Linked DNA regions of Oryctolagus cuniculus. The protein of the gene in region 4 purifies or fractionates together with the protein of the main gene of each other region. This does not show direct contact. Links are inferred from orthologs where the notes say so. Each region holds a gene or a part of one and is shown on either strand. Other genes may lie near its edges.

What was found.
Region 1: the proteins of COPS8 (region 4) and CUL2 purify together in Homo sapiens (affinity purification with mass spectrometry; 4 studies listed by BioGRID and IntAct, counting the BioPlex papers as one, with this or other methods). This does not show direct contact. The link is inferred for Oryctolagus cuniculus from reciprocal best matches to the Homo sapiens genes COPS8 and CUL2.
Region 2: the proteins of COPS8 (region 4) and DDB2 purify together in Homo sapiens (affinity purification with mass spectrometry; 6 studies listed by BioGRID and IntAct, counting the BioPlex papers as one, with this or other methods). This does not show direct contact. The link is inferred for Oryctolagus cuniculus from reciprocal best matches to the Homo sapiens genes COPS8 and DDB2.
Region 3: the proteins of COPS8 (region 4) and DCAF1 purify together in Homo sapiens (affinity purification with mass spectrometry; 4 studies listed by BioGRID and IntAct, counting the BioPlex papers as one, with this or other methods). This does not show direct contact. The link is inferred for Oryctolagus cuniculus from reciprocal best matches to the Homo sapiens genes COPS8 and DCAF1.

Annotation. Positions count from the first base shown.
Region 1 is NC_091444.1:107,425,858-107,433,555, reverse strand, and holds the start of CUL2 (cullin-2), read right to left. Parts: upstream 4,740-7,698; 5' UTR 4,599-4,739; intron 4,544-4,598; exon of another isoform or gene 4,354-4,543; intron 1-4,353.
Region 2 is NC_091432.1:18,713,874-18,721,108, forward strand, and holds the end of DDB2 (DNA damage-binding protein 2), read right to left. Parts: intron 4,966-7,235; coding exon 4,820-4,965; intron 3,645-4,819; coding exon 3,545-3,644; intron 3,457-3,544; coding exon 3,279-3,456; intron 3,023-3,278; coding exon 2,880-3,022; intron 1,697-2,879; coding exon 1,532-1,696; intron 1,380-1,531; coding exon 1,334-1,379; intron 1,046-1,333; coding exon 996-1,045; 3' UTR 687-995; downstream 1-686.
Region 3 is NC_091441.1:98,128,313-98,135,547, reverse strand, and holds part of DCAF1 (DDB1- and CUL4-associated factor 1), read right to left. Parts: coding exon 6,593-7,235; intron 5,475-6,592; coding exon 5,276-5,474; intron 4,826-5,275; coding exon 4,743-4,825; intron 4,257-4,742; coding exon 4,172-4,256; intron 1,048-4,171; coding exon 814-1,047; intron 1-813. UniProt on the Homo sapiens protein: Acts both as a substrate recognition component of E3 ubiquitin-protein ligase complexes and as an atypical serine/threonine-protein kinase, playing key roles in various processes such as cell cycle, telomerase regulation and histone modification.
Region 4 is NC_091434.1:3,080,924-3,088,607, reverse strand, and holds the start of COPS8 (COP9 signalosome complex subunit 8), read left to right. Parts: upstream 1-3,041; 5' UTR 3,042-3,284; coding exon 3,285-3,362; intron 3,363-3,370; exon of another isoform or gene 3,371-3,621; intron 3,622-4,129; coding exon 4,130-4,200; intron 4,201-5,401; coding exon 5,402-5,450; intron 5,451-6,802; coding exon 6,803-6,935; intron 6,936-7,684. UniProt on the Homo sapiens protein: Component of the COP9 signalosome complex (CSN), a complex involved in various cellular and developmental processes.

The DNA.
Region 1 (7,698 bases), on a different chromosome or scaffold from region 4:
GAAAATCCTGGCACACGTAATTAGGCCACATGCAATGACTGAGTAACAGCAGTGACCCCGTAACACCATACAACGCTACGAGTATGTAAGAGAAACTCCTCTGATACAGCAGTGCACGAACAGGCTACGGAGCTTGACACTACACAGTTTCCATGGTAGTCTGCGTGAGTGTGGGGTAACTGTGTCTACTGCTGCAGGAAGTACCATCAGGCATTTTCTAACCGACTACTTCTCCGACTCAGAAACCAGCTGCTTGCTCTACTCTCAGAACAAAAGAAAGGTAACGCTAAAAGTAACAAAATCACACTGAACAAAGCATTTCTTGAATCGGGAACAATCTCAAAAAACAGCTGGATCAATTTACACACTAAGTACCTGACCAGGACTAGTGCCGTGGCACAGCAGGTTGAGCCACCACGTGCAGCGTCAGCATCCCATGTGAGCGCTGGTTCGAGTCCTGGCTGCTGCACTTCTGATCCAGCTCCCTGCGAATGCACCTGGGAGAGCAGCAGAAGACGGCCCCAGTGGGAGACCCACATGGAGCTCCAGGCTCCTGGCTTCCGCCAGGTCCAGCCCCAGCCTTTGAGGCCATTTGGGGAGTTGAATCAGCAGATGGAAGTTCGCTCTGTCTCTCCCTCTCTAACTCTCCCTTCCAAATAAACAGACAAAAATAAAACTTATATTATATATATGTATATAAAAAGAAGCACCTGGCTAAAGATAGCTAACTCAAAGTTAAAATGTCAACCAATACAGAAGGATTATAAACTCAGCAGGAAACACAACATCAGTGTTTTTACTTCTTCAATATTAAAGCAACTTAGAGAAAACAGACTCCAAAAAAAGACAGGGTTCCATCACAGGCCAAAGTCCTTGCAGAGCTGACATAACCTGGAGACACCACTCGCTGTCTCAGAACTCCGGAGGACCAGAGGAACCACACGGCTAACAGTGCCAGCAAGGCTTCCCCAGGGCAAGCCGCACACAAAGCAGTGTCCGGGGCGAGTCCACCGCCGGCCTCGGCCACACAAACGACTCCCATCTGCAGTGGAACAGACACATGGCTGTTCAGGCCCCAGCCCAGCAGACACGCCGCAGCCATCCTCTAGGGCCACCCTGCTGACAGCAGCCTTCAGTCACACATAAGTCTCAGGGACGTGCTGTCCGACCCAGGGTGACAGTCCAATTTCTGCTTTTTCCAGCAGGTAACACTAGCCCGTCTTGCACACTCATGAGGTTAGGATTTAAGGGATGACCCTGTCATCAATTTACAGAAACTGAACTGAACAGTCCAGACCCAGAAACACTGCTCTTCATCACCACATTGCAGGACGCACGGGGCCTCGGCAGGTAAGGGGGACACGGCAGAAGCAGTGCAAACTTCCCTAAAAGTCTCCCGAAAGGAACCAGCTCTGCAGACAACCGCCATCTGCACTCACAAGCTCCCAGAAGGTGTCCTCGCCAGTGTCCCTCGGTTCTTTCCTTTCCTCAGCCCTTCGGCTGTGCTCACCCCATCTCATGAGTTTTAAATACTATTTAGGACTCCACAAGGCCACCGGGTGTCAAAGCACGTGACACAGGGGCCAGTAATACACGCACTACTTGCTTACAGGTGCACAAAATATATCTTTGGAAGAATATCCAAGAAACAGCCAACACTGACCAGCTCCAAGGAAAACTGACTGACGGGGACAAGTGGAGGCAGAGTTGAACTCCACACGCTTGTGCACAGTTTACACTTTCAGCCACAAGAACACAGCTTTTATTCAAAACAGAAGCACTCCCACAGGCACATGCTGATGGCCCTGCCCCACCCCGCTCTCTGCATCAGAACTCAGCTCCAGGAGCTCCAGGTCTGTCTCTCACTACTGGGTGCACGCCGCCTGCTCTGCAGCTGGTGCCTGCAGAACTTCTGCGGGACGAAGTAGACTCCAGCTGCCCGCGTCTCACCTCCACCTGCCCAGCTAGGCCCAGGCCGGCACAGGCGCTCCAACTCCACCCCACCTACCAAGCGGCTTCCCTCGGCTCTTCCCCATCCCCGCATCCCCATCCTTCCGCTGAAGCCAAAGACCCGGAAACCACCTCTGTCCCCACCGCACCGCACCCTCCTGCAAACCGCAAGTCCAGTGCGTCTTCGCGGCCAATCTCTCAACACTCTCCGGCCACGCCCTTCCCACTGCTTCTCTGCCCTTCTCCAATCTCCCGTCAGCCTAGCTTTTTAAAAAGCTCTGGGGCCAGCGCTGTGGCTCAGCGGGTTAAACAGCCCCTTGCAAGGCCGGCATCCCATATGGGCGCTGCCGGTTCGTGTCCTGGGAGGCAGTGGATGATGGTCCAAGGGCTTGGGCCCCTGCCACCCACGTGGGAGCCCTGGAGGGGTTCTGTGCTCCCAGCTTTGGCCTGGCCCAGCCCTGGCTTGTGCGGCCATTTGAGGAGTGAATCAGCAGAGGGAAGATCTCTCTCAGTAACTCTTGCTTTCAAATAAATCAGTAAAACTTTTTAAGATTTATTTATTTATTTGAAAGAGTTACAGAGAGAGAGAGAGAGATCTTCCATCTGCTGGTTCACTCTCCAATTGGCCACAACACCGGAGCTGTGCTGATCTGAAGCCAGGAGCCAGGAGCTTCTTCCAGGTCTCCCACGTGGGTGCAGGGGCCCAAGGGCTTGGGCCATCTTCTACTGCTTTCCCAGGCCACAGCAGAGAGCTGGGTCACAAGTGGAGAAGCCGGGACTTGAACCAGCACCCGTGAGAGATACCAGCACTGCGGGCGGCAGCTTTGCCAGCCCCAAATCAGTAAATCTTAAAAGTAAAAATAAAAAGTTTCAACAGGTCTTTGGTGTGCTTTAACAATAAAAGCCAAACTCCTTGACAGTGAGATAAGGACTCACATGACCTGCCCTCTGGCTATAACCTAAACATTTTTATTCATTTGTTCCAAATGCAGAGTGAGAGACAGAGAGGGAGGGAGAGGGAGGGAGAGGGGGGGAGGGGGAGGGAGGGGGAGGGAGGGGGAGAGAGAATCTCCCAGCGCTGGTTGGTTCACTCCCCAATGGCCACAACAGGCAGGGCTGGGCCAGGCCAAAGCCAGGAGTCAGGAACCCCATTCCGGCCTCCCATGTGGGTGCCGGGGCCTAAGCACTTGGGCCATCCACCGCTGCCCAGCCAGGCGCCACCAGCAGGGAGCTGGATCACAAGTGGAGCAGCCGGCACCCAAATGGGTGTCCCCGTCCGATGCTGCTGAGGCTCCCACGGGGGCCGGCGGCCTGGAGCGGTTTCCAGGGCCACTCCTCCCCGGAGCACAGAGGGTCCTTCTCAGGCCCCGGTCAGACGTCCCCTTAGCGAGGCCTCCGCTGCCCAGCGGCTGCGGCCACTCCTCCTCCACTCCTGGGGCTGCCCTTACCCTGTCTTAGGCCGACTCTGCCCAGCCGGGAGGCCGCACACCTCCGGCCTCCAGCCTGCCGCACGACCCCCAACGAGCCCATCGCCCAGCAGCACTAACCCGGTGTTACCTTCGTTACCTGTACTGAAGGCAAAATTCACTTCAAATTAGGTCCAGGATGTCTGATTAGCGACCCACTGGCAAGGGTAAGAAAAAAAAATGTATATATATATAGAGATAGAGAGAGAGAGAGCGAGCGAGCGAGATTCAGTCTACTCCCACTAATAAAGCAATGAAAAGTGACCAGAGCCTGCAGAGTGGTGTTCCGGGTGCATGGGAACCCCTAAATACTCAAACAGGACCAGAAAGGGTATTTTTCACACATTATGTGCAGGCACGGTACAGACGTGTTGCTACCAAGAAACAGCACCTGAAAAGAAAAGGGAAAAGTGGGGGTACCTCAGAACCCGGGTGCAGTCACCGTGCACCCCTCCGGGAGGGCTGCGGAGCCCTGGAGGGGGCAGGGGAGGCCAGGCGGAGCCACTCGTGTCCGTGCCCTCAGAAACACTCCACGGACTCCAGGCTGCTCCCCCGCGCCCGCTGCGCAGTCGGGGGTCGGGGCGCTGCGCCGGGCGGGCCCGCGGGAAGAGCCCCCACAGCCCGCGGACGCGAGCCCGTGCCCCTCGCACGCGTCCCCGCGCGGGGCGAGCAGCAGGTGCGGCGGGCCGGACCCGCGGGGCTTCTCCCCCAGACCCCGGCAGCAGGCCCCGGCTGAGGCGCCCCCCGGGAGCCGCGCGGGCCGCGCGCACGCCGGCCTCCCGCTCCCGGGGAGCACCGGGCCGCCGCTCCGGGGGCCGAGGCCCGCCGCCGAGGCCCCGCCACGGCCAGCGCGCCCGGGCGCCGCGGTCCCGGCCAGGCCGCCCCCTCCCCGCGCGAGCCCCACCCGGCCCCCAACTCCCCGCCGCCGCCCGGTTACCGGCAGGGGAGGCGTCCCGGCGCCGGCAGCTCCCGTCTGCACACGCAGGGCGCGGCGCCGGGGCCGCCGGCGGGACGGAGCCCCGGCGAGGACGCGGGCGGCGGCGGCGGCTGTCAGCTCGCGCCCCCCGCTCACCGCGCTGCCATTACTGGGCGCCCAGGCCGCCTCCCCGGCCGGCCGCCGCCACCGGCGCCCGAGGGCGGGGGTGGGGAGCCGAGCCCGGGAGCCCGCGCGCCGCCGCTCACCTGCCGCGGCCGGGAAACGCAGCGAAGCCCGAGGCCGCCGCCGCCGCCGCTGCCGGGCGGGCCGGGGGCGGTGGGGAGAAGGCCGGGCCGGCGGCGGGATCGGCGGAACGCGCGTCCTCCGGGGCGCCCGGCTTCGCCCCCTACACTCACACACGCCCTGCGGCCGCCTTCTTCCGCTGCTCCCGAACCCCCCTCGCGGGAGCGATGGTACGGCCCGCGGTACGGCAAGCGCGGGGGGCCAGCCTGGCGCGGGCGCGAAGGCCGCGGAGCCCGAGCTGCGGCGTGAGTGCTGCGAGAGCCGCGCGTGACGGACCCGCGCGTGTGGGTGGGCTGTCAGCGCGTTTTCCTCGCACGCGGCCTCCACCCCGCCCCTGCCCGCGGTCACCGGCCCCAGCCCCGTCGGGCCCGGTCGCGGAACCCCGAAAGCGCGGGCGCCTCCATCCGCGACTCCTCCACGCACAGCCGCGCGGGGACAAAAGTCGCCGGCGGCCCCCACGCGCGGGACGGACCTGCGCCCGGCACCTGCGCCCAGCGCTCCCGCCCCTGCCCTGGACGCCCCGAGAGCCGTGGTGGGCGGGACGCCGGCGCTTGTCGCGCTCACTCTGCCTCCCTCTTTTTTTTTTTTTTATAAAAAATATGATTTATTTGGGAAGCACAGTGACAGAGAGAGGTCTCCCATCTGCTGGTTCACTCCCCAGATGGCCCCAACGGCCAGAGCTGGACCAGGCTGAAGCCAGGAGCTCCTTCCGGGTCTCCCACGCAGGTGCAGGTCCTTGTCGGCTGCTCCTGGCTCACCCTAGCCGTCGGGGAGTGGACCAGCAGGTGGAAGACCCGTCTGTCTGTCTGTCTGTCTGTCTCTCTCTCTCTCTCTCTCTCTGTCTCCCCCCCATGTCTCCCTTTCTCCTCCTTCCTGTGTCTTCCTCTCTCTCCCTGTTAACTCTTTCAGATAAATAATTCATGTTTTAAAAAGCAGCGTGGACCCTCGCGTGCGCCCCTTCCTGGAGCTGTGTCGAGGACCAAGGCGGTGGGCGCGTCTGCCCTCGGGGTTCCTCGCCAGGGACAAAGTCCAGCTCTCCTGTGAACTCGCCATGTTGGGTTTGACAGCTTCCCTGATGAGTCTGTCGTGCTAGAAACACACGTGCCGACTTTTGCATGTTGTGTGATGGAATACGAGCCCCGTGGAAGGTCTGCAGGACTTGGTGCACCGGTGTTTTCCAAACAGCCAGGCAGGAGGTGACCAAATCAAACGTCGCTGGATACCAGATGGACCACCGGGCCAGCGTCATGGGTGAGCTGCTGCCAGCAGCACCAGCATCCTGTATCCGGCTCCCTGCTAATGCACCTGGGAAAGCAGTGGACGACGGCCCAAGTGCTTGGGCCCCTGCGCCCGCGTGGGAGACCTGGATGGAGCTCCAGGCTCCCAGGCCCAGCCATTGTGGCCATTTGGGGAGTGAACCAGTGGGTGGAAAGATTTTTCTCCCTCTGTCTCTCCTTCTCTTTGCAACCCTGCTTTTCAAGTAAAGAAATAGATCTCAAAAAATAAATAAATAAATAAAGGAGAGAGAGAGACCAATGAATGGATATGCAAGGGTACTTCAGAAAATTTGTGGAAAAAATAATTTTCTTTTGGTGCAAAATTTTTTGAGATCTGTATGTATGTATTTTCCATAAACTATTTTTAAAAAGATTTATTTATTTGTGTGAAAGGCAGAGTTATGGGACAGGGGGGGAATCTTCCATCCACTGGTTCACTGTTGCAACAGCCTAAACTCTGCCAGTCTGGAGCCAGGAGCCAGGAGCTTCTCCCAGGACTCCCACATGGGCGCAGGGGCCCAAGCAGTTGGCCCATCTTCCACTGCTTTCCGAGGCATTGCAGAGAGCTGGATTGGAAGTAGAGCAGCTGGGACTCGAACCAGCACCCATATGGGTGCTGGAGCCGCAGGGAGCGGCTTTACTCAGAACACCAAGCACTGGTCCCTGCCATGAACTTTTTGATGACTCCTTGTATATGTGCATTTATAGGCACACATAAATTAATACAAATAACAAATATAAAATAATATAAAATAACAGAGTTCACTAATAGGGCTTCATATTCATTACTGCAACTAACATAGAAACTACCATCAAAAAAGAATGCCCATAGTTATTCAAAAACAAATTCTCCCTCTAAGTCCTGGGTTTCTTCGTATGCTTCAGTCATGGAAAATCCAGTTACTTTCTGTTAAGCCAAATATTTACTGATACTGACTGGCAAAAATGTGAGCCCAGGGCCATTCTTCTCACTGAGTTGTTTTAATTGGGCAGCCGTTGGCCACCACTTGAGACACCTGCATCCTGCATCCCGGTGCCGGGTTCAAGTCTCAGCTCCACTCTGAGTCCCACTTCCTGCTGCTGTGTAGTGAAAAAGCTAGTGATGGCCTGAGTGACTGCGTCCCTGCCACTCATGTCGGAGACCAGGATTGATTTCCGGGCTCCTAGATTCAGCCTGGCCCAGCCCCAGGTGCTGCAGGCATTTAGAGAACGAACCATAACTGGAAGATGTCTGTCCCTTTCTGCCTCTCTCGGCTTTGCAAGTATATATATATATACACACACACACATATATATATACATATATATATACATACATATAATTTGCAACATGTAAATTTTTGTAAGAGCATGCAATTTTGTTTTTGTTTTTGTGACAGGCAGAGTGGACAGTGAGAGAGAGAGACAGAGAGAAAGGTCTTCCTTTTCCATTGGTTCACCCTCCAATGGCCACCACGGTCGGCACACCGCGCTGATCCGATGGCAGGAGCCAGGTGCTTCTCCTGGTCTCCCATGGGGTGCAGGGCCCAAGCACTTGGGCCATCCTCCACTGCACTCCTTGGCCACAGCAGAGAGCTGGCCTGGAAGAGGGGCAACCGGGACAGAATCCGGCGCCCCAACTGGGCTGGCGCTGCAAGGCGGAGGATTAGGCTACTGAGCCGCGGCGCCGGCCAAGAGCATGCGATTTATAGTTTAAATATTTTGGTTTATTTTTTAAGTTAAGCACCATTAGCATTCTCTCTCTTCTGGTGGACCCTGGCGTGGCGTGCAGATGTCTGTGTCCTAC
Region 2 (7,235 bases), on a different chromosome or scaffold from region 4:
GACTGGGTCGGAACTCCCTGTGATCACCCCAGCCCAGATGAGCAAGTGGAGCTTGGCTCAGCCATGGCATCTGTCACTCAGCACTCACACGCCTGATGTTTACCAAATGCTGTGCTGGACATTGGCTTTCTCCAAGCAGGACCTGCCTCTTCTGTACTTCCTAAGGACCTGAGACATAGACAACTACTAAGGTTTCACGCAGGGCCTGGGATAAAAACCGGAAGGAGTTGGTGCTTGATCCGCCCCGCTCGCTCCCCTCCAGCCTGGAATCTTTGGCAGATGGCTCAGAGGACAGTCTTGCCTCTCAGTGCTGAGGGTACACTCATCAGCTACCAAGGAAGCAGCTGACCTAAACAGGTTTCCCTTTGTCGGGTTGAAGCCACCATTAGTCAGACAGTGTTCCTGGTACCCTTGGGCGCAAGCAGATCAAAGGGTGCTGGGACTGTACTTGGGAGGGTGCGGGCGGTGGGTGGGCAGTGGACCGTCAGAATCAAGAAGTGTTCTCCCTCAGCTGGGCTGGGGTCTCCAGGGGCCTGAGGTGAGTGCAGGCTGCGAGCTGGACCCGCGGAGGCAGCTCCCGGAGAATGAAAGCTGTGGACTTTGAGCGCTGGTTCTGTGCCTTTTCTTCATTCCTGGACCCCAGGAGCCCTCTGACCAGGTCAGTGCTGGAAGATTTTCTCGACAGCTCAGGTGGGAATGGTTTTATTGGCCGCCAACGGTGAGCACAAATCAAACAGCACTCCCTGATCACTCACCCGCCACACACCAGAGAGGAGAAAGGTCGCTGGGCTCCGGCCAGACAGAGCCCCTCGGAGGGCTGGGTCACCAGCTCTCCAAGTACAGTAACACGCCTGTGTGCCAGTCCCACAGTGCCCCTGCCCCAACCCGCAGATTCGGATCCTTTTGGCCCTTTGACAAAGTGCCGCCTCTTCCCGCCAGGCTTGTCCCCGTTTGTAGGCTCCAAGCGGATGCTTGCCCCACACCTTTAACGTCACTCATTTCCGTGCCCCAGCTTCTTCCTGGCTCCAAACGAGAATGTGATAACCTAAGAGAAGTGAGAACGCCTTCCGTTATCCATCTCTGAGGGCTTGGGGCTGGCCCTGAGAACCTAGGGTCCAGTGAGTAAATACTAGGGGACAGGACAGCATCCAGGCACTACCATGACCAAGACAAAACAAGAGGGAGGGAGGCCTAGGCCAAAGAGACTGTCTCCCAATGGTCTGTGCTGGCTGCAGCGCTGGGGTAAATGGACAGGGCCCAGCTGGTTATTCTGCACCGAACCTGGCATAGCAGGGAGGGTCGGGCGTGGCTGGTCTGTCCTGCTTCTACTTACCCATTGTGGAGGCCAGTGTGTCCCCCATGGGATTGAACTCGTTAAGCTGCAAAGACAAGAGTATCAGCATGAGCAGGGTGAAGGAATCAGGAGGCACAGGGCGGGGCACAGAGGACTAACTCCGGGTCACTGGGGTCAGTAATGAGGTAGATCGAATGCTTGCTTCCTCCCATCAGTATTGGAGGGCCCGAGTCTCACCGAAACGATCCCAGAAGATTCTGGGTCATAGAGCTGACACATCATCTTCCCTGAGCCTCCGTCAAACATGTCAATCGTCCTTAGTTCGTAGGGAGCGCAACTTTTGAAATTAGGATCTGGGTACCGACCCACGACAATGAGGTTGTACCGAGGGTGCCAGCTTGCCTGTAAGACGGAGAGGCTAGTCAGGGGAATAAACACAGAACGCCCTCGAGGGACATCAAAACCATTCTTTGCTGCTAACAAGCCAACACCGCAACAGAGGCGCTGCGACCCACGTGCAACTGCAGACTTCTAATCCCCCGCTGGCCTCCCTGGCCCCTGGACACCTTGAGGCCTTCTCTCCTGCACTTCCTGCCGCTTTCAACATCAACCTGGCCTAGGCGTTAACAGGTAGGCCTACAACAAAGTGAACGGCCTGTGGTAATCAGAACTACTTAGGACAGAAATCTGAAGTAACCCCACTGCCACCCCTCCGTCAGCGTGGATAATCAGGAGCTGTGTGTAAAATCACTCAAGACTGAAAAAGGAAAGGAACTCCAGTAGCCCAGCCTACCCCACTCATCCAGAAATCACAAATTGGATGGGATTTTCCTGATACAATTTCTCAAGGAAGTTTTGAAGGAGCAAAGATGTGGTTAGCAGGAAGGAAGAAATGGTACCACTAATCACAGACGGCGGGTTGGCCTGGCTGGATACGAGGCGGCAGATCAGGACAGATGGATTAACAAGAACACCAGCTGAGGAAGGATTCTTGGGATTCCTTAGTAGGTGCTTGGATATGATTTGAGGTACGTGCGGTACTAAGCGGTCATCATTTTCTGAGTACTCACCCGGTGCTAGGCATGGTGCCAAGTGCTTTAAGTACACTGATTCATCCTCACAACAACCCTATCAGTTAGATACTATTATTCCCTTTTTACAGATGAGGAAACGGAGATCCAAAATGGGAAAGGAAGGGACTTATTTCTATTATTAGAAGCCACCTAAACCTGCAAGACAAACTAAGAAGGTGAAGGTTAGTTTGTGGACCCACACACACGGGTAACTGAAACCGAGAGGGCAGGGCAGAAGCTCAGCATTCTGCACATGCTCACAGGTCAGGGCTGGGCTGAAACTCCTGAGGGAGACAGCTTCTCAGAGAGACAAAGACGGCCCCACCAACTGGACTTGCAAACGTGGCATAAAAGGAACAGAGAGCGCCGAAAGGCTGAGAGACTGTCTGCTGGGGCAAGAAGAGGTCTGGAGCTGCAGGCTCACACGCCTGCCCCCTCCCCACCTTGGGCAGACCTGGTCCGTCCCCACGCTCTCCACTCCCTCTGCGCGTTCTCGTCACTCTGTCACTCACCTTGATGGGAGTGAGGTGCTGGAAGTGCCGGTGAGGATGCAGGATGAGGCCCACGGGGCAGTCCCACTGGGAGGCAGAGTAAATCCGGAGCTCATTCTTCTGATCCGTGGTCAGGAGCCGGGCTCCGTCAGGACTGAAGCAGGCTGGGGAAGTGACAAGCACCTAAGCTGCAGAAACCGGAAGCCCCGCCCCCGTCGGGCCGCTTCTCGCGGGGGCGCCCTCCCTCTGACACCTCTGAGATGGGGGGAAAGGGCAGAGGTGAACCAGGGCTGTGAGCAGAAGAATTCTAGAAACTCAGTAGCCCACAGGAGATCTGAGACACTGGGGAGAAAGGGTCGGCCTAGCAGCTTCCAAACTTCCCAGGAGGCCCCGGAGTGTTGAGACAGGTGGGGTTCACACCTGAGTTGACAGGATGCTTGTGTGGCAGCGAGCAGAGGAAGCTGGCTTTCCCTCTAACCTGGCGCAGGTCCCAGATTTTCACTGTTTGGTCTACGGAGGCTGTGGCCAGTAACCAATCGCAGCTCGGGTTCAGAGCCACATGGGTCACTTTCTTTTTGTGCATTCGGAGATTCCAGAGCTGCAGAGGAGAGCCCGGCTCAGCTGGGGACAGAGAACTGAGGTGGGGGGAGGGGAGGGAAGGCGCGCCCAGGGCTCAGAGCACGCACCTCTTTACCGTCCATGTTCAGCAGGAACACATGCCCCATGTTGTCTCCTGTGACCACCACTCGGCTTCTGGCAGACACGTCCAGGCTGCAAAACCACACGCTGGAAGGAGAGACTGTACTGTGAGATTCCTGGGGCCAGAGACAGGTCCTTTAACTCACTGCTGCAGCTCCTGGGCCTAACCCGCGGCAGGCGCTCAATAAATATTTGTTGAATGAATGAAGTATCTGTCTTACCATGGATTCCCAGGAAGAACACTCAGTCTTGTCTACCAGCCAAACAGAGGGAATGAGGGTGAGGGGGGCTCCAAAATGTGTCCAGTCTCTGCCGGGCCTAGCGTCCTGAGCCAGGGAGAGTCCCAGACGCAGTGAGACCTCGGGCCCTAAGGCAAGCCTCCTGGCTAGCTGGGCCCCACAGCTGCTAGAACCTCGGTCTCCTTTCTCTGCCTTCCCTCTCCACCTTGGGGCTAAAGGAGAAGACACGCCAAGCAGAAACTGCCCCGCTGTGCTACTCAGAGCTGGCCGGAAAGAAATGTCTGCCCCCTTCTGAGCAGTTAGGGTAAAGCACACACGACCTGCAGCCCAGATGCACATCTGTTCCCCTAAACCCTCAGAGCCACGCTAGTCTGCCTTTTGGTCGTTCCCCTTCAGGATCTTTAAGCGAGAGGGTTTCTTGTGGAAGACCAACATGGAGCTGAGTCTAGCCAGTCACCTGTCCCTGTGGGGCAGCCCAGGAAACCCAGTGCTAGCTGTCAGACCCCGCCCCTCACCTAACTCCTTAGGGAGCAGGTAGACTTGGGTCTCTGGCTAGAACGCGGAGGGACCTGCATTTTTAATTCCTCCAGCCCCTTGCTCTTGGGGAGCCCGGAGCACTTTTTGGACACTACTGGATCCACTGAAGCTTCCACCAAGGAACTGGTGAGTTCCTCACCCGCCAACGAACAGAAGGAATTGCGTCTGAAGTCCTAAGTGCCTGCTCCACCCTGGGCCACCACCACGTTGACTTGTCTCGTGAGAGCCAAGGTCGAGCCTAACACAGGTGTGACTTAGAGAAAAGCCGAGAAGAGCCGAGGCTCCAGAACACCTTCCCAAAGCAGGAGCCCACCTGGACGGCAGTCAGAGTAGCCAGAGTTTGAAAAAGGGAGGGAAGGGTGGAAAGTGGCGAACGCCTTCTCGTTCCTCCTGGCCAGGTGCAGGTAACAGAAGCGGGGTCAGGATGCTCTCGCCAGGACTACACCTGGAGCTGGAAGCCCTTGCCATGCTAGTTCGGCTACTCACTTGCAGGTGTCTGAGCTGGTAAAAACTCGGAGGGTGTTGCCTGTAAAGTCTTGCAGCCTAGTTGTTCCCTCCATTGAGGAGGCGAAAAACTGGTTGGTATTGAGAAGGTTAAACTTCAGCCCAGTGATGCTCCCTCCAGCTCCAATCTAACACGAGGAAGGAAAAAGCCAGTGAGTGATGAGGGGCCGGAAGCGAGGAACCAGGCCTGGGCACGTGGACTGTGCTTTGACACAAACGCCAGTCGGTCCCGACACCCAGACCCCAAGGTGCTGTCTCCACAGTGTGCTTTTTAAAATTCACACACAATAAATACTACTTTTGGTATACAGATCTATGAATTTTAACCCATGTACAGATTTGAATAACCAACACCAAAATCAGGATGTAGAACACACTATCACCCCCAAAACTCCCTAGTGCTCTGCTTTCCCACTGTAGTCACACTCTCCCCCTCACCCCAAAACCTCTGGCACCCACTGATCTGTTCCCCAACACTAGAGCTGCCTGCACAGAATATCACAGACAAGTCCCAGGGTCGGTGTTGTGGCATAGCACGGTGAGCCTCCGCCTGCAACACTGGCATCCCATCTGGACGCCGGTTCGAGACCCGGCTGCTCTATTTCTGATCCAGCTCCCTGCTAATGCGCCCAGGGAAGCGGCAGAGGATGGCCCAAGTGCCTGGGCCCCTGCACCCATGTGGACACCTGGGAGAAGCTACTGGCTCCTGGCTTCCACCTGGCCCAGCCCTGGCCATCGTGGCCATTTGGGGAGGGAGCCAGCAAATGGAAGGATCTGTCTCCCCTCTCTCTGTAACTCTGCCTTTCAAATAAATAAAAAATAAAATCTGAAGAAAAGAAAGAAAGAAAGAAAGAAATGCGTGCATAGTGTGCGGCCTCGGAGCCCCTGCCACTGGTTGCTGAGGCAGCGCAGTGCGGCACGGCTGTGCCAGGGTGCCGCTCCCACGCGCTCTTTCTGGAAGAGCTTCAGCTCGCACTGGCGGCAGGATAAGGAGGGCAAGAGTCAGATCCGTCCCCCTTCCTGCTTTTGCAGACAAGGAAGACGAAAACAACCACACTACCAATGGCTGGGCCACAGTAAGTACTTATTATATCCCACACACTGTTTTGTTAAACACTTCACTCTCTCAGAGCTCCTTCACTCCTCTTTATGCTACCCTGGCCTCATAGACCTGGGCAAGGTCTCCTATCCAACAACCACGTCAACAGGTTCCATCCCTCTAACACCATCGGCATCAGTGCTCACAGCCTACCAAGACTTGCTGCTTGTAAGACAATCTGTTCTCGCCGCTGGATCAGCCTCCACTACTCCATGCCGGTCCACCACCACCTTCCCTCTACCTGTCACCCAGTCTGGGAGCCCTGAATCTTTGCTGAGCTGCCACCTGCCACCACCCGCACTGATGTCCGTCTCGGCTGCCACCAGACCACCGAGGCCTCCCCACTATGTAAATACTGGTCCTGCTTGAGTCTACCATTTAATGACTTCTGGTTTCGACTGTTCAGGAAGGAAAGGGAGGAGGAAGAAGATGAAAAAGAGGAAGAGATACCACTCTTTTTTTTTTTAACGAGTTTTTTTTTTTTTTTTAAGATTTATTTTATTTATTTGAAAGAGTTACAGAGAGAGGTAGAGACAGAGAGAGAGGTCTTCCATCCGCTGGTTCACTCCCCAGATGGCCACAACAGCTGGAGCTGCGCTGATCCGAAGCCAGGAACCAGGAGCCTTCTCTGGGTCTCCCACGTGGGTACAGGGGCCCAAGGACTTGGGCCATCTTGTACTGCATTCCCAGGCCATAGCAAAGAGCTGGATTGGAAGAGGAGCAGCTGGAACTTGAACCAGCACCCATATGGGATGCCGGCACTGCAGGCGGCGGCTTTAACACGCTGTGCCACATCGCTGGCCCCGAGATACCACTCTTAAACTCTCCACAGACTAGAAAACAGGGCATAATTCCCAAGTGTATGATGTCAGTATAACCTTGTTACCCAGATCTGACAAGGACATATCAAAGTACTGGCCACTCTTACATATGAAGAGAATACAGATGTCCTATATAAAATATCAGCAAATTCAATCCAGTGACATTTAAAAAGGATAAACACACTATGACCAAGTGGGTTCATTCCAATAATGCCAGGTTTGGTTAAATAGGAAAAATCAATCAGGCATCAATGGAAAAGATCCAGAATGGAAGGGGGGAAACTAAAAAAGGCTCGAGAATTGTATATTTGATTCAGAGGTAATATTCTGAACATATAAAAGATCTCCTAAAGCTCACAAATAAAATGATCCTCAGCCCAGAGGGTAACATGACAGCCGAGATGCCTGCATTTCCACTCTGCAGTGCCTGGCTTTAATTCCAGGCTCCCAGCTCCTGATTCCGGCTTCCTAATATGGA
Region 3 (7,235 bases), on a different chromosome or scaffold from region 4:
TCTCTCTTTCTCTAACTTAGCCTTTCAAACAAATTTTAAAAATAAAATAAATCTTTAAAAAACAAAAACCAGAAACTATTTTAAAAAAAGGTCAATACATATTACTGAATGATGTCCCTGAAAATATCCTATGGTACCTCAAGTATATGAGCTCCCTTCCTCCAATAGTAGCACTTTCCTTTCCCTCTTATGGCTAGTAATTAATTTTTTTGTTGTTTTTAAGATTTATTTTATTTATTTGAAAGAGTTACAGAGAGATTGCAACTATGATTGCAACAGCCAGAGCTGAGCAGATCCAAAGCCAGGAGCCAGGAGCTTCTTCCAGGTCTCCCACCCAGGTGCAGGGGCCCAAGGACTTGGACCATCTTCCACTGCTTTCTCAGGCCATAGCAGAGAGCTGGATGGGAAGTGGAGCAGCCAGGACTCAAATCAGCGCCCACATGGGATGCCAGCGCTACAGGCCGGGCTTTAATCCTCTGGGTTCCTGTGCTGGCCCCTAGGAAGTGATTTCTATATAGCAAACACAAAACCCTTCTGAGGACAGAAAAAAACTCCATCCAATATTTGGAGACAAGGAGGCAAGAACCTATGGCGACTCTTCCCAATACACGGAAAATATACTAGTGAAAGTCATCAGGAATTTCCAGCATAACCATGTGTGTGCTGGAGATTCCCTAACACTCCAACCAAAGGACAGGCATCATGTTACTTCCAGTGTGGACACTTTACCCAAGTATCGGTGGAAAGAGAAATTGTATCTACATCGCAAACCATAAAACAAAACGGAAAATAAGAAATTAGTGTAAAGGATACAATCTCAGTATTAATGATGACTTCCAGCCCATTCGGATGAAAAACGCCACTGATGTTCATGTTGAACTTGTCAAACTTGTGGATGGCCTGTGCAGAGCGGACATCCCAGAGGACGCCATCATTTAAGACAAGATCATCTGTAGGATTAAAGGTGGCACAGTTCCTCTTGTAGTTGTTAGCAAGATCTGGGTTAAACAGAGTCAACAGCTTGTTGCCAATCTGAATATCATAAATCTTTAGAGAAGAAGGGGTGGGAAGAGAAAAATCAGACCAAACCATCCACTGACAAATTTAAAGAGAAACTGTTAAATATCTCTCTCATGTATTCTAAATCCTTCCCACTGAAATTACAAAAGCTCTAATAGTGTAAAGTAACTGGAAAGTGGAAGATCCAATCCAAGCAAAGTTCAAGTACTTTGGTTCCCATTCAAGGCTTGAATACCCCCTTCCTATGATAGGAAAATGAAAAGTGAAACTGCATTAAAGATAAGAAAACTCTTCTTCCCTTTTCCCTTTTCAAGAAACAGAAAAATGTTTCTAAGATAAAAACTGAGAAATTCTCCATATGGATCAATCAATGATTACCCACAGAATACTCTCTAAGGGTCACTTTATAAAGAAAAACATCTAAGAAATACTCTTTTCTTCTTAAAACCTCCCAATATACCTATTTTAGTCCACCTACTAAGTTTCCAAAGGCTACAATGCACAACTCATGCAGAGACCAGATCTTTCCCATCAGTTTACAAGTGTGCTATAATATTTCCTATCTCTTTAAAAAAAAAAAAAAAAAAAAAAAAAAAAAAAAAACTCTTTTGATTTGGAAACAAATAAGGAAACACCACAAGGAAACAAACATCCAGATCATGGGACAAGACAACTAGCCTGGTCTCTTCAAAAGTCAGTGCCATGAGAACTGGAGAAAGGGTTCTTGGCTTTTAAAACATTAAACATAATAACCAAATGCAATATGTGAATCTTGGCTGGATCCTAGTTCAGGAAAAAAAAAAAAAACATATATGAAATCAAACACATCAAGAACACCTGGAAAAACTGGGCATGGACTGGATATTAGATGATATTTGAGAACTACTCTAATTTTCTTAATTTGGATATGTGACTATGTAATTAAATAGTTTTATTGTTAGAAGATACATGTTCAGGGACCGGCGCTGTGGCATAGCGGGTAAGACCGCCGCCTACAGTGCTGGCAACCCATATGGGCACCAGTTCAAATCCCGGCTGCTCCACTTCTGATCCAGGTCTCTGATATGGCCTGGGAAAGCAGTGGAAGAAAGCCCAAGTGCTTGGGCCCCTGCACACGCATGGGTGACCTGGAAGAAGCTCCTAGCTCTTGGCTTTGGATCGGTCCAGCTCCAGCTGTTGCAGCCATTTGGGGAATGAACCAGCAGATGGAAAGCTTCTCTCTCTGTCTTTGCCTCTCTGTAACTCTGCCTTTCAAATAAATAAAAATATTAAAAAAAAAGATGATGCATGTTCTGTAATGATGCTTGTAACTCACTTTCAAATTGAGAAAAACACATTCATAGAGAAAGTATGGAAAAATATTAAAGTGATGAATCTAGGTAGTGAACACATGTACCATTCTTTCCATATGATTTTAGTATGTTGTAACATTTTCAAATGAAAAGTTGAGGGAAATCCTCCCTTTACCATGCTAAATTCTCCCCTCAAGCTATTTATTACTCTACTTCTCTGCTTTGTATCCCAACAAAATAATTTAAAGGAACTAACTATACTCAGTGTGTCTATTTCACTCCTCCTATGAAACCACTCTAACCAAGATTTTGTCTGATCAGTGTACAGCCTATATTTTAAAGATTTATGTACTTATTTGAAAGGCAGAGCAAGAGAGACAAAGGGGGAGAGAATGATCTTCTATCCGTTGGTTTACTGCCCCAATGGCCACAACAGCCAGGTCTGGGCCAAGCTGAAGCCAGAACTCCACCCTGGTCTAATGAGTGACAGGGGTCCCAATATTTGGGCCATCACTGCTGCCTTCCCAGGCATATTAGTAGGAAGCTAAATGGGAAGCAGAGCAGCTAGGAGTTGAACTGCTACTCTGATATGGGATGCTGGCCTCCCAAGAAGCAGCCGAACCCACCGTACCACAGCCCAGGCCCCAGAACTATTATGTATAACTAAATATAGTTGTAACTATATAATAACCTCTATGTTGTTCAACGCTCCCACTCAGTTCTCATTCTTATATTCAACTCATCAGCAATTTCTGACTCAACTGATCAATCATTCCTCCAAACGCAGTCTTCCCTCGGCTTTTAGGTCTTTTTCCTGGGGTTTCCTTTTGACTTTCTGGTCACTCTCTCTGGTCTCCTCCCTAAGATCCTCCTTATTTGGCAACTTCTAAACACTGGCACATGCAAGTGCTGTCCCTACACCTCTCCTCTAGCCCCCTTAATCTCATCCAGGTTCACAGCTATAAATATTGATATAAGCACTACTCTCCTAATTTTAACCCCCATCCCAGACTTCTCAACTCCCCATCTGTACATTCAATTCCCAGTTAATGTCTAATAGAATCTCAAACTTCACATATCCAAAACCTCAGGACTACGGCCCATCATTTTTCAAGGCCTCTGCATGTCTGTCTGGATCATGCCCCATTATTCATGATACAATATCCTCCTGCCTGGAAGGTCTACTTTTGCTTCTCTCACAGAAACAAATCATGCTTTAGGTTTTCATATCCAGTCATATATCTTCTGCCACCCTCCAGTTGTCTTCACCTTCCTCAGAAGAAAAGCTAAAGGTCCCAACTACCTCCTCCACGATGCTACGGGATATGTACCCATCACTGACCTTAGCTCTTACCCTCTTCTGCCTCACAGCTCCCAAACAAGGCTGTTTCCTGGCTACTCCCTCTGCCTTAGAATGACACCTGCACGACAGTCACAAGTCCTTCAAGGGCTCTGCTTAAACAGTATCCAATCAGTGAAGCTAACAAAACAGTCCCTGACCACACTATCAAGCATTTCTTCCCTCTTACACTGCTTCTTTCTTTTCCTCTGCAGCAACCAACCATCTAACATGAGCCCAAAAATGCAGGGATTTTATCTCACCTAAAACTTGGTAAGAACTCAAAGATATCTGCTGTGCTAACAGCATCTTCCTCAAGCTGCAAGATTAAGTTCAGAGTCAATTATTTCATTTTTCCTATATAACTTAAAACTACTTTAATACACTTCTAGAGTTTAACTGGAAGGACTATCACTATAATTTCTAGATACCCACTAAGTCCTCACATTCAGTCCAGAATATTTCTGAATTAACAAATGAGCAAAGTGAGCGTGAAAGCAGAGGTTTCTCCAGCACTTACGTGGGCAATGTCTCCCTTCGTGCCTATGACTCGATCCTGAGAGTGCTTACTGAACTCAACATAGTGGTCTTCTGTGAAGGAATGCCTACGGACAAAAGCACTGAGAGGTCAAGATGTTCAAGACAGACTCCTGCACACACTGCAGCCTCTTAATGCCTTGGCTCCCACAGAGGAAACGCCTGTACAGTGAGATTAAAAACATTCCCTCCAGCAGTGTGTCTAAGCATACCCTGACAGGGATTCCTTGGTTGGAAAAATGACCATAGGGCACATGTGCCTTTGAAATACGAAAGATTAGAATGTAAATGGCCCATGTGAACTTGGCAAAGTATAAAGATGGCCATTTGGAGTTAAGTGAAGGATCTGCTGCCCAAATGGGCAAGCATATACTTTCCAGGAGCATCTAGAAATTAAAAGATAAAATTTTATTAAAACATAAGCCTAAAATGAAGAAGTTAACAATAACTTACAGCATCCTACTTCCCAAAAGGCCTCTAGTCCAACAAATAGATGGAGTATAAATTATATAAACAAAACACAGGAACACCAGACTACAAAAGCAGATACATACTTCATATCAAATACTGATTTCATTCCCCAAAGTGCAGACAAAGGCTGGCTCCAAGTAGCAGATGTCAGCAGCAAGGACCCGTCCTGAAAGAAGGAGGCCCAAGGAGGGTAAACGTGGGTTTATATACATGTAGATGTTGCTATCTACCATTAGTATTTTTAAAATATTTACATAAAAGCATTACTGGATTAAAGAGAAAAAGAACAACTTTCAGGAGCCAAGAAATAATCAGAAGTCACTAAGATTTAAATACATGTACCTGCAGTGTACTAGAAAATAAATTTAACAGCACATTAAATCCTTCTGAGCTCGTAACAAAAATATAATGGCTCCAAAGAAAAGAGGAAGAAAACTTGGAAAGACATCAAAGATAACCGGTTCTCTTGATACGGCACACTCCTCAGTTTCCCTTGGAGTCCAGTCGATTTCACCTAGACTTTAGAGGTAAGGATTCCTCACAAGAAACTCCAATAAAAGAGGAGTTCACCAACCCATCTTAGAAACGAGAGCATCCAGGAGGAAGGGACCCTCACCCTAGAAGGTTCAAGGTGTGTGATAGCCGAGTTGTGACAGTTGTAACTGGCCTCCTCCTGTCCACTAAACACATTATAGAGCTTCAGCTGCCCTGTGCAGGTGCCAAGCATCAGGAACCTCTCCCGTGCTGAGAACGCACAGCAGGTGAAGCCACTCTCATCTTCATTGGCTTCCCGGAACACTGAAATAGGACGGAATCTAAGCAAAACAAAAGAGAATCAGAGACATAGAATGTGCAGGGACTCAAAAAGAAAACTTGCTAGAAGGACTTAGGTTTGAATAGGTGTGAAATAAGTTCTTTAAAATATCACACTAACCTTCACTGGTTCATTTTCAATTTTAAATGAGAGAAAAGGACCTCCACTTACAAATTTAAATAACAAAAATTCCCACATTTAGGGGCCAGCACAGTGGATAAAGTCACCGCCTCCAGTGCCAGCATCCCATATAGATGCTGGTTCAAGTCCCAGCTGCTCCATTGCCAATCCAGCTCTCTGCTGCGGCCTGGGAAAGCAGAAGATGGCCCAACTCCTTGGGCCTCTGCACCTGCATGAGAGACCTGGAAGAAGCTCCTGGCTCTAGATCAGCCCAGCTCCAACTGGGGCCATTTGAGAAGTGAACCAATGGATAGAAGAACTCTCACTACCTCTGCCTCTCTGTAACTCTTTCAAATAAATAAATAAATCTTAAAAAAAAAAAAAAATCCCACGTTTAAAACTGTGATCCCTTTCCATGAGACTTTTAAGGAATCACAATGTTCAAGGAGGCATCTGATGCAGCTGGTAACATGCTGTTCAGGATGCTCACATTCCGTATCAGAATGCCTGGCTGAAGTCCTGACTTTGATTCCAATTCAACTTCTTTCTACAGATCGCTGCCCCAACAAGTGAGATCAAGATTGAGCTCCTGGCTCCTGACTTCGGTCTGGCCCAGCCCCCGCTGTTGCAGGCATTTGAGGACTAAACCAATAGATGGATCTGTTTCTGTCTGCTTTTCAAATAAAAAGAAAATTAGTATTTTAAAAAATTCACATCAGAAGGCATTTTGGACCAGCACAAAACGAGCTAAGATCCTGGTTAGGGAGCATGGGCTCTCCAGTGGTAACACATTATTCAAGTATTGCCACTAATGACATAAGGACTCTGGTAAACAAAAGGTGACACACACTGCTTATGTACTGATGTGACAAGGAATGGCATTTCAGACCAGGAAATGGCTGACTGGACTAATCACTCTATGCAGACATCACCCCAATACTCTGATTTAAATAATTTAAATAATTCCAATTCCCAGGATGGGAGAGGGCCTCTTCTTACCTGCTAAAGATAAGGTGCCTATCAAAGCATCCACCATCTACCCCTCCATACTTTGGAAATGATGCCCTGCGGTTTAGCCGTGAGGTAAAGTTTATTGGCGCTTGCCGCCTCTGTTTTGGCTCAGGACACTGGTGAGGAGTAAAGAGAGAGAAAGGTGGGCAAGTAGCAACTGGGTTCTTGCATCGAGCATGTTGCTCTCTAAGAAACTCTGTGATGATACTGTCCAGCGTAGGCGGGGAAGGAAGATGTCTGTCCAGCTGCTTTTTTATGGCTGGGCTTTGGCTGTAGGCGCCATGGTCCGACTTTTGCCGCAACACTCTGATTTTCCTGCCATTGCAAGGTGATGGCCTCTCTCTGATAAAACTGATCCTACCAATCAAAGGGGAGTTGCCTGCATAAGATGGGCCAGGCAAAGCTAGTGAACCCTGAGGGGGCCGTGGCTGAGGATGAACAGCGGGGGCAGAGGGGGCAGAGGCACCCACGGCAGCATGGCTGCCCAGTCGAGTTGCAATGCCATTGGCAATTCGAGGGGTTCGGGGAAGAGAGACAGGTGAAGCAGCAGCAGTTACTGGGGTGAAGGCAGAAGAATGGGAGGCAGCAGTCATGGGCAGGTCGGCCTCTTTCGTCAGCACCGTCGCTGTTT
Region 4 (7,684 bases):
TGGCCACGAGGATGGCGGCCCCCTGCCTGCAGCGGCTGCCCTGCCACCCAGACCCAACCGTCACTGGCCACGTACGCAGCTCAAAGCCCTTGTCCTTTGAGGCCATTCTCCAGCCCTGGGTCCTGCAGCCTCCATCTGGAACTCTTTCTCACCAGCGTCTGAACTTGGCCTCTCGGCTGCAGGGCTGTGACCTTGACACAGGTCCTAAGGGCGTGCTGTGTGCTTTCTGCTTGCCCACGGAGCAAAGGCTGCACACACAGTTCTGCTGTAGACAACCTGCCCAGGCTAGCAGAAGGTGGGGCAACACGCCCCCCCCCCCCAGTGGGGCCCAGGCCATCCTGTCCCGGGTGTGAGGCGGGGCTGGGGCGGCCTCCACTGCCCCCACTCCCCACCCTCTCCCTCCCACACAGCCCCCGGAAGGCTCACCCGTGAGGGCTGCCCTGGGTTTCTGGCTCATCGGCCAGCAGGGGGGGGAGCCCCAGGTCAGAGCCTCCCTGGCCCGGCGGCCCCTCTGCAGGAGGTCAGAGTCCCAGCCGTGGACCCCTCTGGGCCAGGCACCTTTCCCCCCTCAGCCTTTGTAATCACTGTTGACAGACTGCAACTTAGCGGCTTCTCCTACAGGTGCAGGGCTGTAGACATCACTGCAAGGTGTCCAACCCGCTTGGTTGGGGCCGGGGAAGGCGTGTGTCACAGGTTGGGAGGGCTTCTTTTATAGAGTCAGGACATGGGGGTTAAAGGTCAAAGCAGGCCTGCTCCTCTCTGTTGACCTTTAGGCACCTGCGGGGACCTTGACAAGGACTCTCCTTCCCCGGAAGTGTGGGTAGGGCCTCTCCATTCCCTCCTTGTGCATCCCAAAGCTGCCATCCCGACCTTCTGATGACAGGAAAGGGGGCGACGATGAGTCTCTGGCTACTTCCTGCTGACTGGGGACGATGGGGCACTCTTGGCTGGCATGGGGCGCTGTCTCCTGGGTGGGGAGCTGAGTATATCCCCGTAGCAGCATTTGGTTGACCGCCTGGTTGCTGAAGGCCTTGGTTCGTTCCATTGTCACCTGCTGTAAACACTTACACAGACACTGGTCTGCAAGTCAGGGTGAGAACAGCAACCAATGATCCTAAGAGTGGCACTAACCAGGTAATGAAAGGATTTCACAGAGGAGAGGAATGGGAGGGGTCACTGGACCCTTGTGAGGACGGTTTGATGGACGTGGTTTAAATCTGATCCCAGCCGAGACCGGGAGAAAGGCCACTCAGCTTTTGCAGGTAGCGGGTTTGTCTGTAGGGAAATTCTGAATAATCATGCAGATTAGGTGGAGGAGAGGACCATCAGTGCACACAGGTCGGGAGCAGAGTAGAGGCTGTGATCACAAAGGAAGGAGACCCACGTGGGCAGACAGGGCCTGGTACAGAGGACAGTCACTGTCAGAGGAGCTGAGAGAGGTGCTGGCTCCGCCAAACAGAACCTGACAGAGGGGCCTGATAACACTCAGGTGGGCTTCAGGCCTTGTAAGTTAGGAGGCCAGACCGGTCTGTCTCTTCACAGGGTGCCTCCCAAGGGGGGTGTGCACCTCCCTGGGGAAGGCACCCTGTCGGCTTCCATTACCCAGCTGGCCTGGGAGGAAGCTGGCGTCTCCAACAGGAAGTTTAGTTCTCCCGCAGCGTTGCTGACCCAACCTCAGCAGCGGTGGTCACCCTGGAAGCTGGGCTGAGTGAGGGCCTTTCAGCTTGGAGCCAGCAAGGCTGCGGCTCTGACCTGGGCGTCCCGACTCCACTTCCAGCGACCCAGCTCCTGGCTGGCAGGGCTGGCGGGCTCTCCACAGGCTCACTCTGCTGAGGCCCGGCTCACCTCCCCGAAAGCCCCTGCAGTGGACTGGCCCGCTGGGTCTCCGAGGGCAGATCCCTGCACGGGGCTACATTTCACGGCCGGCCACCCAGCTTCACGTTTCTCACTTGTTGACAGACCAACCTAGAGGCTTCCGTGCAGGCGCAGGGCTGCACAGACACCACCAAGACGGAAGCTTGAAGCCTTATCATCACCCCAGACCCACTACCAGTCACCCCCGCCCCACCCGTCCCCGGCCCAGCCGGCTGCTTCCTCTCCAGGGACGCGCCCGCTGGGGCATCTCACCCCGCACACCAGGGGCGCGTTCCGAGGACAGAGGCGCCACCGGCCCACCGCCATCCCCTCCCCCGCCTCTCACCGCTCGCCGACCCCACCCGCCCTGAGCTCGCAGGGCCGGCGCGTGGGCGCCCCAAGTCCAGCGTCACCCACGCGGTGCCACCACGCCAACCCCTGCGCTCGGGTTTGGTCCGTGAGGAGCCGGGGAGGGGCGCGCAGACCGCGGCTACCGCCCTTCCAAGCGCACCGAGCCATGGGACTCGCCGGGCACCTGCGACCCCGAGGCTGGCGGGCGCGCGTCTCAGGGTCAGGCCCGGCCAGGTCGGGGTGGGTGGGGGTCTGCGCGGCGCCCCGCGGAGATCCCGCCTAGCAAACCTGAGCGGACACGCACAGCGTGAGGGCGGGTCGGGCTGCGGGGAGACGGCGACACCCATGACACGCCGACCCCTGCGGCCGCCTCTCCGGCTTCGGGACCTGCGACCCCCGCGGGTGCCTCCAGCCCCCGCACCCGTGTCCCCGCCGCAATCCGCCATCGCACCCCTCGCGGAGATGGCGCAGCTCGGGGAGCAACAGAGAGGGAAGCCCTCCATTTCCCTCCATCGCCTCGCCCTGCCTCAGACCAGCGGCCGGGCCTTTAAACGCGGCCCGGGCGCCCCCGGTCCTGCGCAAGGGCAAATCTGCACGTACAGGGCCTAAACTCCACGGCCGTCCCGCTCCCGGGCGGGACCCGGGGCCCGGCGGCGCCCGCCTCGAGCCTCGACCGGGGACGGCGCGGCCCCGTGACCCCCGCACACACGTGCCCGTGCTGTCCCAGCCACTTCCGCTATCGAACGTCCCTCACCTTCCTGTCCTGCGCACTGGGCGACCTCGGGCGGACACAAGCTCCGCCCTTTCCGCCGGCAGCCGCGCGCCCCGGAAGTGGTATCCCGCGACGGCTGGCTGGTCCTCCCAACCACCGAGAGGGCCGCCCAGAGCGCCGGCGCGCTCTCCCTCGCCGCCTCCTACCCCTGCGGCAGCGGCGCCCCGGGCCGTGCCGGGACCACTGTGCGCGTGCGCAGGAGTGCTGGGCCGCGGCGACGGCGTGGTGCGTCATCGGGGTGCGACGCCCGAGGGACTGTGCGGGGTTTGCCTGGCTGGAAGGTGCGGCGGCGAGACCGGGCGGGAAGATGCCAGTGGCGGTGATGGCAGAAAGCGCCTTCAGCTTCAAAAAGCTACTGGATCAGTGCGAGAACCAGGAGCTCGAGGTAGCCGCGTGCAGCGCGCTGGGAGGAGCTCCGGGGCCGCCCCGGCCTCCGGGCGGCGCCGGTTTCCAGGGTAACGGGGCCGGGGCGCGCGGAGAGCGGGCGCGGGACGCGGGCCCGGGCGCCCCGCACTGCTCGGGCCGGGCGGTTGCTCGGCCGCTGCCTGGACGCGTGGGGCAGCCTCTCCTGCCGGCCTCGGGGCCCGGGCCGCGGGCCGTGGGGGCCGCCCCGGGCGCTCGGTGTCTGGGGAAGCCAGCGCGGGGTGCGTGACCCGCGGACACGCACACGCGTGGAGGGAGCGGTGCCCGGCGGGCCGTGCTCCGTGCGGGCCTGGGGAAGGCGCCCCGCAGCATGCCCCGGAGCGGCAGAGCCGGGCGGGGCTCGGGAGTAGGCCGAGCTGTGTCTGCAGCCGCCGGCGACTGACGTTTCAGCTTTTTGTTGTTATTTTTAAATGTACCCGGAAGGCACCGTTAGAGGTCTTCCGTCCCCGGCTTCACTGCCCAAGTGGCCGCCAGGGCCCGGGCTGGGCCAGGCTGGAGCCGGGGGTCTCCTCCGCGTCTCCCACGCGGGTGCAGGGGCCCCGGGACTCGGGCCATCTCCCAGGCCACAGCAGGGCGCAGCATCGGAGCTGGAGCGGCCGGGTCTCGAACCTGCGCCCATCGGGCCGCCCGTTTGATCCGCTGAGCTGCAGCCCCACCCCGGAAGGTTTCGGGTTTTTTTCTGGCGTGGGTAAGAAAGGAGGCTGTGCTCTTGCGTTTCTGGCGTTCTAGGCTCCTGGAGGAATCGCGACGCCCCCGGTGTACGGCCAGCTGCTGGCTTTGTATCTGCTGCATAACGACATGTGAGTACCTTTAGCGACCCGCGGCGGCCGCCCCGGTTCCCGGGAGCCCCGAGCGCTCTGCTGCGGCCTCGCTGCGGCCGTTCCTGTGGCGTCCAGCGGGTGGTGGCCGGCGGCCTGTAGCTCCTCCTAAGGAGGACAGCGGGTTCCTAGGGAGACGCAGACGGGCGGGCGGCTGCTTCCCTCCCGGGTGCCCCGGGGCCGGGCTGGTCCAGACCACAGCTGGGAGCCCACTCCCACGAGCCGGCCGCCGTGTGCGCTGGCAGGAAGCAGAGGCCGGAGCCGCAGTCGCGGTGAGGCCGGCGGTCTGGGGCCCTGGGGCAGGCGCTGACCCCGCCCGCGGGCTGCCGCCGTCCATTTCCCGCGGAGCCTTCGGAGAACCCTCAGGTCCGAAAAGCAGCGCGGAGCCTGGGAAAGTGCGGGCGCGTGACCTTTTTAAAGGATTGTGCTCTGACCTGGGCTCAGCCGAGGGCCCCTGTTGTCGGCAGGCCCAGAGAAGCTGCCCGGAGGCCGAGGGCCAGCAGGGGTTTGCTGCCCACAGCCGAGAGCTCCTGGGAGCCGTCTCGTAGGGGGGACCCGTGTCTGCTCGCTGGAGGGCAGAACGCCCCCGGGTGGCTGTCGTTCTGTGACCCCAGGGGCGCCTGACGGTTTTCCTCTAAACTTCTCCGAGCCCTTTCTGTCCTGTCGTCCTAGAAGCTGAGCTGGGCTCCCCGCGTCCGGCGTGTGAGTGGCCCGCTTCGCTTCCTGTGGTCCCATCGTAGGGGTGTCCTGGTCCGGGTTTCTCCCCGGATCCCCCTGCTGTGGAGGTTCTGGGGGCAGGGCCCTGTGTGGGGCTGTGAGGAGGACCAAGCCCGGGAGCCCGGGCGTCTTCCCTCCGGGGAGGCAGGACCTGGGAAGCGCGTTCTTATCTGGGTGAATTATTTGGGGAGTTCTGTGTAAATCTTTGTATTTTTGGTGTTGGCTTAATTTAGCATCTGAATCATTCCTTCAGAAATTCACTAAAAATGGCAGAATGTGACGTTGATGAACTATTTCCTGTCTCTTCGTCTGGAGAACTACTCGTAATTCCCCAGAACAAGTTCACATAAAATATGTTTGCTCTGTACTGTGCATAGAGTATTTTGATTAACTCCTGTCTGTTCTCATTAGGACCTAGTAATTTCCAACATTTTTACTGACCGCTCTTTGCGCTGGTTTGCATTAGGAATAACGCGAGATACCTCTGGAAGAGAATACCGCCTGCCATAAAGTCCGTAAGTGTCCTTGCCCTGCGCTGTGTTGCTTCCACGTGGTGATAACGTTCTCTGACCGGGGAATCCCGTAAAGCGCTGTTCCCGTCCCGTGTCACTGGGGTTAGAGGAGAGAACCGACCTCCGGCGCTGCAGTCAGAAACCAGAACTTCCCCGGGATGGCGGAGGGGTCGGCTCGGCTCCCGGTCATTCCAGCCACGCCGCTGAGCCGGGCCACGCGAAGGGCTGGGCGGTGGCTGCAGGGGGGCGGGGGGTTCAACGGAGCTGTGCAGGTTCCTGAAGCAGGAGTGGCGTGGAGACTGGTGGTACACTGCTGTTCTGAAATGGTCATTCGCAGCGCTGGGACTGTCTATCCAGTTAGGAGAGTGGGCTTCTCGTTTTGGGTGGAGAAGCAAGTGAAAGCTGCTTCCGAAGTGGGCCGCAGTGGTCCTTGGGTTTCGGGTGGGTCAGTGCCCGCGTGAGTGGTCTCCACGTGGGACCAAGAGTCCACCTCAGGTTGTGCTCAGCTCTCAGCCGGGCACCGGATTAGTGCTTTAACTCCCATCCTTTCCCATACCTGCTGTGAAGTGAGGTGAAAGAGGGTCCCCGTGGTGGAGGCGTGAGGGTGGTGGCCTCCTGTGGTGGCCTGTGCTGACCTTGGCTCTTGCTCGCGTCCCCAGGGCATCGTGTTATGTGTGTGGGGACTGCAAACAGGGCACCTTTCGAATCAGCTGCCCGAGATACTTAATCCCCAGGCTTAATCCCGAGCATGTTTGGATTACTTTCTCAGCCCTTAATCTGTTGTGGTAATAAACACTTACAGCGAATGAATAAAGAAATTTTGCGTTACTGCTCATGCTGCTTAAAAACCTGTTTGAATGTGGTTGGACTGAAAAAGTGATTGCATCTCTTAAAAGGAACGTGAGATTTTGTGTTGATGATGCAGCTAACACGTTGTACGTCTTTCTGACTTTCGCTTTAAGACACAGTTGTGGCCGGCGCCACGGCTCACTAGGCTAATCCTCCGCCTTGCGGCGCCGGCACACCGGGTTCTAGTCCCGGTCAGGGCGCCGGATTCTGCCCCGGTTGCCCCTCTTCCAGGCCAGCTCTCTGCTGTGGAGGATGGCCCAAGTGCTTGGGCCCTGCACCCCATGGGAGACCAGGAGAAGTACCTGGCTCCTGCCATCGGATCAGCACGGGGCACCTGCCACAGCACGTGGCCATGGCGGCCATTGGAGGGTGAACCAACGGCAAAGGAAGACCTTTCTCTCTGTCTCTCTCTCTCACTGTCCACTCTGCCTGTCAAGAAAAAAAAAAAAAAAAGACGCAGTTGTTTCCAGGATGAGCACTGTCAAAGGCTGTGACGTGTGTTCCAGGCGAACTCTGAGCTCGGGGGGATCTGGTCGGTGGGACAGAGGATCTGGCAGAGGGACTTCCCCGGGATCTACACGACCATCAGCGCTCACCAGTGGTCCGAGACGGTGCAGCCCATCATGGAGGCACTGAGAGGTGCGTTTCTTTGTGTTGGACGTTGCAGCAGGCCCTTCCTGAGGCTGCAGGGCGGGAGGCGGGTGGGGCGCTGGTGAGCGCAGGTGAGCGGCAGCTTTCCGAGCTCCCGTTTTTATTTTGTCCAGAAAGTGCCGCCAGCCTTCTCTTGCTGAGGCTGCATCAGCAGTTCAGGGCTTCGTGTCTCGGGCTGGTTCCAGGTTGAAATTGCTCCTGGCAGGGAAAGGGCTCTCCGCTGTTGCAGGAATCCCCGGAGTTCACGGCCTGAGGGGTGGAAGGTTAGAATCCCCGCCGGAGTGCAGACGGTCATTCGGCCTCGGCAGGCGTCTGGCCGGCGGCTTCCAGGCGAGCAGGCTCAGGGCGGCTCGGGCACGTGCAGGGGCTGACGCAGCGATGTGGCCGACAGCAGGAGGCGCTCCTTGACACTGGAGTGGGGAAAGCAGGGGTGCAGGGCAGGTGAGGGAGCGAAGGGAGGAGGGGTGCGGCCGGGCGGGTCCCGTAGGGGCAGTGTTGGAATCGGTGAACAGCCTTCACCCCTGCTGTAGGCCTGAGGAGGGATAGTGGATTTCATGGTGTGGGCTGAGCAGCCCTAATTGAAAATCTGAAGTGCCCCCAAATCTTAGAAGTGTGTGAGCACGGACAGGACCCCGCACGTGGAGAATTCCACTGCCGGCCTGTGCGCTGTGCCACAGCCAAATAGAGATGCACTGAGAGGGTCGTAAATCACAGTGTGAGGTGGAGGTGAAGCTTAG